Xenopus tropicalis: one gene and its partner. The protein of the gene in region 1 purifies or fractionates together with the protein of each later gene. This does not show direct contact. Links are inferred from orthologs where the notes say so. Each region holds a gene or a part of one and is shown on either strand. Other genes may lie near its edges.

Region 1 (4,178 bases):
AATTACACATCCTGCCTATCATTTGCTATTAGAGGTACCGAACTACAAATTCATCCAGCAATCGAGCTACAAATGCAACATATTGGGAGTTTTAGTTTACAAAGTTATGGTCAAATGTAAAATCCCTGAGCTATCAGAAATAAACAGTACAGAACTTAATAAAGATGAACTTCTAAACTATATGGACTCACAAAAAAAAAAAAAAAAAGATTTTTGTGGGAAGGTGATACTGTTTATTGGTTAATTAATTTTAAACGGTATCATGTTACCACCTAAAATCTTTTTTCTGAAACTATGGCTAACACATTACAATACTCTGCTGCTACTCATCAAGAAGGCACCTAACGTTCCCATGTGCACCCACCTATTACATGTCAGTGTGTATGGATAACAGAAACGTTTCAGTATGAGTGAAAGTGTTTCTTCCCCTTCTGTATTAAAACTCACCTCATGCTCTGTGATATTAATCAGAAGCTCCTGTTGTAGAAACTGCTCCAGAATGTATTTGGGTGCCATATCCACCAGGGACTGCAAAATAAAGAGATTGCTATAAAGATAGGAAAGCTGGCAGAAGCTTTGGATAGTATTTATTATGGACTAACACCATGTAAACATTTTACTACATTAACTGATAATTTAATAATTAAAATATTTTTTCAGATTTTGGCAGTATTTATCCTATGCATAGGAAACAAGGTTTCAACTGGATTGAAGTCAAAAGGGCTCACTTACAAGAAGTAGGTGCAGAATTGCCAATTTTTTTTTTTAACGTCTTTATTATGATTTAGCATGAAAAGGTTACATTCATATTTATATGCAATGACCGGTCCATCCTCTTTCCTATATCATAGGAGAGAAGGTTTATAGTTGTCCTTTACCTTTCCATCAGGCAAATAAAGTGATTCGATCCTGTTTTTAGAAAACGTGGTAGTAGTATTAAGTAATAATCATACAATATTAACTAGTAACTAATTAACTAGTAAACGTCTGCCTTTATCTTACTTGCCAGAGAACATAAAACGGTAACCTGCTTATACTTGGATAATATGACTATGTTAGTTCATCAGCCAGAATTGCAAATTTTAAACAGCATACGCATATGACCTGCACCTACTTGCACCCAAGCCCTGTGCTTAACATCTGGTTTGACCTGGTGTTATGCAGACCCAGGCTGAGATTCAAAATAGGCCCTAATATTTCAAATACACAAAGGCCCAAACAGCAACTGTCTGTGGGATCTTACAGCAGTTCCTCTGGCATTTGCCAGAATCCACAGACTGGCAGTCTGGGCCTGGTGTTAAAGGAACAGTAACACTAAAAAATAAAAATGTTTTAAAATAATTAAAATATAATTTACTGTTGCCCTGCACTAGTAAAAGTTGCGTGTTTGCTTCAGAAAGACTACTATAGTTAATAGAAATAGCTGCTGTGTAGCCATGGGGGCAGCCATTTAAATTGAAAAAAGGAGAAAAGGCACAGGTTACATAAGAAGATACCAGATAAACTGTGTAGAATACAATGGGAATCTGCTACTTAATTGTTATCTGCTTAGCAACCTGTGCCTTTTCTCTTTTTTTCAATTTAAATGGCTGCCCCCGTGGCTACACAGTAGGGTATTTATATAAACTGCAGTAGTGTTTATGAAGAAAACACACAACTTTTACCAGTGCAAAACAATAGTATATAATATATTAATTATTTTTATACACTTTCATTTTTTGGTGTTACTGTTCCTTTAAGCACTGGGCCTCCTTATGCACTCATAGCCAATCAAGGTTGTGGAAGCTGAACTGCACATGACTGACAACCATGTAAGTGTATGCCTATGCTGCAGGAAGGATGCTGCACTGAGGGGTAATATGGCAAATTGCACTTTTTTGCATTTAGCAGATGAGATCTATAGTTTTAATAATAGGTGTATTCCTTTTTAAAGAAGGGTCTTTCAAACTTATCCCATTTTTAAGATAAAAAATAAAGCTTAGGTGTCTTTTGCCAGCAAAACATACAAATCACATAGAAAATTAATTCATCGGAGTAGTATATATTTTATCTGTACATTTTCATTTATAAAAGCTTTGGATCAGAACTGCAGTTCACCCAGTAAGTATGCTTAGGTAAGGTGCACGTTAGCTGGCAGAATTACCTGTTTGGCAGATGGGGTCATTCCCTGCTGCACCACGATTAAAGCCCTCGTAATGTTCTCCTCCTGCATTCTCTGGCAATACATCTTAATTGTCTTAATGCCAACTTTGGGTTCCTCTACAAATAAGACAGGCAAACATGTAATAATCCTTTGTCTGCATGTATAGACCCTTCAGCCAGTCACTGTTTTTTTTTTTTTTTTTGCACCTACTCACCTGGGAAGAAAACAAACATTTGGTCTGTGGGATCATCATTATGAGCTACTAATACAGTCAGGTCAGTTCGGCGAGGGCGCCCTTCGCTAGGTTTGTCCCCAAACTGGGCTTTAAACTCATCCAGTGTCTGATCCAATTCATCCTGCGTTACTAAGTAACCACGGTCATGGCACAGCTGGCGAAGGAAAGAAGGATGCGAGTGAAACAGGTAATATGGAGACAGATGAGGTAAAGCACAAAAGTAAAAGTGACAGGGACGAAGAGTACAGTAGAAGTATATGCTGGAAGCAGAAATGAATGGTACCCAACACAACGTAGCTGAGTTCGAATTACTGAAAAAGGCGAAGATTATAACACAAAAAGATTTAAAACTCAATTTTCTCACCTGCATAATAGTTTTGCGGATCTTCCACAACCGGTAAGTTTCCTCCTCATCGTCCATGTTGTCTCCACGAGACCAAACAGGAAGAAGAGCGCGATTTCCGGAGCTCGGCTCCCTGGGCTGCAGGAGGACCCTACATGGGCTGCCCTCACTCTGCCTGATGGCTACAAGCGAATACTGCTGTGGGGTATCTCTGAGGACGTGTTATTAGCTTAAAACTGCACTGTGGAAAAGGAATAAAGTTGCGCATAATATCGTTTCCCTTTTTTGCTGAAGGTGGCTATTCGGGTTGTAGAATTTGTTCAAGTTTCGGTATCACGCTAAGGAAGACCAAAGAAATTGCATCGTCGCAGTTGAAGGGCTCGGCCATGTTTGTGGTAGGCAAGAAGCCGGCGTACATGTTCTTGTAAAGATCACCATTTTGTTGGTGGGTATTACTACCGTTCCTATATTCATCGTCTTCGTGTATTTATATTGCGTCACATAGTTACATGGCGCTCTGCATTAATATTATAAGTGGCTAAGTTTAAGAGTTAACCCTCTAAAGGTATAGGGATTAGTTATTGGCAAAAGAGGGTGTGGTAATGTGCCAATGATAGGCTAACTACAAGAATTACGTAAACTAAATATTCTTTAGAAATACTTGTTAAACTGTTTTAAGGCGAGCAGTGTTTTATTAAGATTTTTTTTTATTTTTGCCCCAAGCCCCATTTTGATATATAATATTATCTTTATGTATGTATATATATTTTTATTTATATAGCACTACTTATGTACCCAGCGCTGTACAGTAGGACAATAAATGAATAGAATAAACGGGACTATTACAATAAAATAAATACAAAGTATGATAGTAAATACAAGGTAAGGATACAATACGTTAAATTAATACTGTCACGGGAAAAACGTATTTTTTAAAAACATATCTGTTAATAGAGCGTCTCCAGCAGAATCCTGCATTGAAATCCATTTTTCAAAAACACAAACTGATTTTTTTTATATTTAATTTTGAAATTTCACGTTGGGCTAGCCATATTCTTCATTTCCCAGGGTGCCACAGTCATGTGACCTGTGCTCTGAACTCACACTTTACTGCTGAGCTGCAAGTTGGAGTGATATGAACCCCCTCCCAGCAGCCAATCGGCAGAATAATGGGAAGGTAGCAAGATAGCAGCTCCCAGTAGATCTCAGAATTGCACTCAATAGTAAGAAATCCAATTCCAGCTTGTGACTCCTTCAGTTATATGGAAGTAGGAGAAACAATAGGTTATCTGAAAGCAGTTCCAATGTGTAGCGCTGGCTCCTTCTGAAAGCTCAGACTTGCACAATGCTGCTTATAGACCAATATTACAGCTAAAAAAATACATTTGTTGGTTCAAGAATAAAATGTTAAATGGTAGACTGAATTATTTGCTATGTAAATAGTGTAATTCAGAAAT
Region 2 (4,001 bases), on another chromosome or scaffold:
CTGGAAGCGACCATTTTATTGCTGTTGCATCAGTGTAGTACATTGCCGCTACTTCCTGAAGGGTCGAAGGTAATGCAACATAAGGCCCAAAGTGTGCCCAGTTGTAGCAACCCATAGCAACCAATGATTGTATTTGGTGCCCATTATACAAGACCTGCTTGATTTAGGTGTTTATACCTGCCCCTTAAACTACATACCCCTCAAGGGGTTCTGCCACAAGGTACCTGGTCCATTTTATTGGAAACAGCGCTGATAATAGCCTGGTCCCGGAAGTGCTGGTGGAACCGCTCCGTGTTGACTTGCCAGTAGACGCCATCATCTTGGCTATCCTGGGCAGGGAGACCAAGGAGGAAAGGGTAAGTTACAGGCAAGACAAGAATGCAGGGCCATATTGGGGTGAACGATGAACACCCACCTCTGCTTCCTTTTTTGGTCTCTTGGCCTGACTGCCTCCATCGTCATCATCAGATGATCTGCGGCGTTTGCCCCTGCCTAGAGCAACAATAGGCACAGCATAACAAGGGGTATCCAGTAGCACCCCTTCCTACATTGTATACACCTCCGGGCAGTATCGGAGAGCGGCTGCCCCACAAGGGCACTTACCTGTCATATTTAGCTTAGGGACGATGTACATTTCCTTCTCATTCATCTGCAGGGTTGGGGCAAGTGGTGGGCGGCCCTCCGTGGCATCCTTCTCCTGCACAGTCGGGCACCGCTGCACAAAGTGTGTATCTGCCAGGTGGGTAAAGGTGGCAGAAACCTCACTGTACTCCATGCTCTTGCTGTCTGCGCAGGGAGAACACAATACACAGGGCTTAGCTAATGGGCTTAAAGCATTGAGCAGGTTCCTATTATTCCTCTACAGTACACATTCTTTGCGGTACAGTTCCCAGTTATGCGACTAGATTGTAAGCTCTTTCTGACAGCTTCAGACTTTCCCCCTATAGAACTAGACTGCAAGCTTCTAGGGGCTGAATAAATATTAACCAATTTACCAATAGATCTTATGCTATGTGGGACAGGGTGTGCCATTATATAACTAGACTGTAAGCTTCTTTGGACAGCCAAAGGGCTTTCCATTATATCACTAGACTTTAGCCCCAGTGGCTAGATTGCAAGCTCTTTATGTTAGTCACAGGGGCTCCCATTCTACCAATAGACTGTAAGCTTCTAGGGGCTGAATATTTCCTTATACCAATAGATGCTCGGGTATTTGGGATAGGGTGTGCCATTATATAACTAGACTGTAAGCTTCTTCAGACAGTCAAAGGGCTTTCCATTATATCACTAGACTTTAGCCCCAGTGGCTAGATTGCAAGCTTTTGATGTCCATCACAAGAGTTCCCAATCTACCAATAGACTGTAAGCTCCTAGGGGCTGAATATTTCCTTATACCAATAGATGTTAGGCTATGTGGGACAGGGTGTTCCATTATATAGCTAGACTGTAAGCTTCTTGGGACAGTCAAAGGGCTTTCCATTATATTTCTAGACTTTAGCCCCAGTGGTTAGATTGTAAGCTTTTTATGTCCATCACAAGGGTTCCCATTCTACCACTAGACTGTAAGCTCCTGGGAGATGAATATTTCCTTATACCAATAGATATTAGTCTATGTGGGACAGAGTGTGCCATTTTATAACTAGACTGTAAGCTTCTTTGGACCGCCAGAGGGCTTTCCTTTATATCACTAGACTTTAGCCCTAGTGGCTAGATTGCAAGCTCTTTAGGTTAGTCACAGGGGCTCCCATTCTACCACTAGACTAGACTGTCAGCTCCTTGGGGCTGGGTCCCCTATGCACACCCCTAGATTTCTGACACTCACAATATAAACCAGGGCAGCTGACAGCCAGAAGGGATGATCAGGTTGCTGGGCTGCCTATCCCAGAAGGTTGCCACAGGGCTACCCCAAGGCGGCAGTCATTACCTTCCATGGTCTCGGTCAGTCTGTCGGCCACTTTCTTTACTGCGGCGCTTAGTGTCATTTTGCCATTGAGCAGCAGCTCCTCCACAATCAGCTCCCCCGTGTCCCCGTACAAGGTCTTTGCCGTGTAGATGTAGCGCGGGTAGCGCAGTATGCGCAGGAAGCGGTCGACGTGGGCCTTGTACTCGACAAAGCCGCGTTTGTTCAGCTGGTAGGTCACCAGGTTGTGCTGTATCAGGACACAAAGGGCTTTCTTCACCTGTCGGAGGAAAAAACAGTCCATCAAGGGACGGGGACTAGTTGGGGGCAGTGCCCAGGGAGCGAGAGGGTTAAACTTGCCTGATCCAATGACGTCCCTGTCTCGTTGGCGATCACTCTCAGCGGCTGGTTGCCCGTCCGTATCAGAAAGGTCCCCACTCGGTCCACAATCTCCCCGTAATGTTCCTGCAGCAGCAGGGAGCACAGCTTGCTCTCAACCGCACTCATCTCCCGGCACCGGCTGAAACAGAGGGATAGTTATAGTTGTACTACACCCTATAATGCACTATCACTGCTGCTATCCCACTGCCAGACATATACATGACTATAAGCTTATGTCCCAACAGGGGCTGAGGCCCCTCATCTGCCCAATGAGGCCCAGGCAGTAGGGAAGCAATTGTCTGAGCCGTCAGAACTAAGGCACCATCATAAGTTATGGCTGAACTACAACTCTCAGCTCCCACAATCCTCTGCCAGCGCCTCCATGCAGCCCTAGAGTGAAACTCACACCAGAATTCTACCAACAGCACTCACATGGCTTCCGCTTCCTGTCAGCTGACACCGTCCGAACGTCACCTTGGTTACCACATAGCAACTTCCGGTATTAGTAACCCCCCCCCGTTCTTCTCTTGAACCTCCTTTTGGGCTGAGGGGGCAGTGGAGGAGGCTGATTGGAAGACTCGCTGGTGCTGGCAGGGGATAGAGCGCCGTGCGGGGTCACTCTTGCCTCACAAGCCCCGATATTGGGAGGGGTTGATTGGAAGACTCGCTGGTGCTGGCAGGGGATAGAGCGCCGTGCGGGGTCACTCTTGCCTCACAAGCCCCGATATTGGGAGGGGTTGATTGGAAGACTCGCTGGTGTTGGAGGGGATAGAGCGCCGCCGTACGATAGGAGACGTTCGTGTAGGCGAGTCGGCGGTGCTGGGAGGACTGACGTGACGCGGTTCCCAGCAGCAGCAGCCGGAGCTGGGGGAGAGCGGGTAGGGATCATGGCGGAGGCGGCAGCGGTGTCTCAGCATCGGTTCTTCTGCCATCACTGTAAGGGGGAGGTCAACCCCAAGCTGCCGGTGAGTCCCTGCGGGGGAGTGCGGGGCCCAATTGGGGGGTGTGTGGGGGAGGCATATGGGGGGCCGGGGGGGGGGCTGCTGGGCTGAGGGGAACGAAATGGGCCGGGGTGGGGTATGGTGGCGGGGAGGGGAATGTTGGGGGCCGGGGGGGGGGGGGGGGGAGTGCAATGTAAACAGTGGTTGGATGTGTGGCCCGGGGGGAGTGGGGAACAGAGTGGGGGGTACGTGCGGGGGCACTGGGGTGAGAGGGGGGGGTAGAGGGGCTTGGGGTCCCGGGGGGGGGCAGGGTTAGGGAATGTGGGGGACAGGTTAGATGTTTGGGGGGGGAGTAATTGGGTTAATGGGGGATGTAGGGAGGCCGAAGGGAGGGGTGCGGGGAGAATCTAGGGGACAGGGGAGGGGTACTGGGGTGGGAGGAAAGTATAGGGGGGGCTTGGGGTGGGATGGAAATGTAGGGGGGTGGGAGGGGAATGTAGGGGGGCTTGGGGGTGGGAGGGGAATGTAGGGGGGCTTGGGGGTGGGAGGGGAATGTAGGGGGGCTTGGGGGCGGGAGGGAAATGTAGGGGGCTTGGGGGCGGGAGGGAAATGTAGGGGGCCTGGGGGCGGGAGGGAAATGTAGGGGGGCCTGGGGGCGGGAGGGAAATGTAGGGGGGCCTGGGGGCGGGAGGGAAATGTAGGGGGGCCTGGGGGCGGGAGGGAAATGTAGGGGGGCCTGGGGGCGGGAGGGAAATGTAGGGGGGCCTGGGGGCGGGAGG

The links.
Region 2: the proteins of polr2e (region 1) and polr3c purify together in Homo sapiens (affinity purification with mass spectrometry; 4 studies listed by BioGRID and IntAct, counting the BioPlex papers as one, with this or other methods). This does not show direct contact. The link is inferred for Xenopus tropicalis from reciprocal best matches to the Homo sapiens genes POLR2E and POLR3C.

What each region holds. Positions count from the first base shown.
Region 1 is NC_030677.2:100,196,723-100,200,900, forward strand, and holds the start of polr2e (DNA-directed RNA polymerases I, II, and III subunit RPABC1), read right to left. Parts: upstream 2,810-4,178; 5' UTR 2,800-2,809; coding exon 2,743-2,799; intron 2,533-2,742; coding exon 2,358-2,532; intron 2,260-2,357; coding exon 2,144-2,259; intron 529-2,143; coding exon 448-528; intron 1-447. UniProt on the Homo sapiens protein: DNA-dependent RNA polymerase catalyzes the transcription of DNA into RNA using the four ribonucleoside triphosphates as substrates.
Region 2 is NC_030684.2:141,779,117-141,783,117, reverse strand, and holds the start of polr3c (DNA-directed RNA polymerase III subunit RPC3), read right to left. Parts: upstream 2,807-4,001; 5' UTR 2,714-2,806; exon of another isoform or gene 2,688-2,713; intron 2,421-2,687; 5' UTR 2,408-2,420; coding exon 2,261-2,407; intron 2,181-2,260; coding exon 1,925-2,180; intron 787-1,924; coding exon 604-786; intron 493-603; coding exon 416-492; intron 330-415; coding exon 225-329; intron 1-224. Other genes in the region: E3 ubiquitin-protein ligase RNF115, read left to right, coding at 3,169-3,246. UniProt on the Homo sapiens protein: DNA-dependent RNA polymerase catalyzes the transcription of DNA into RNA using the four ribonucleoside triphosphates as substrates.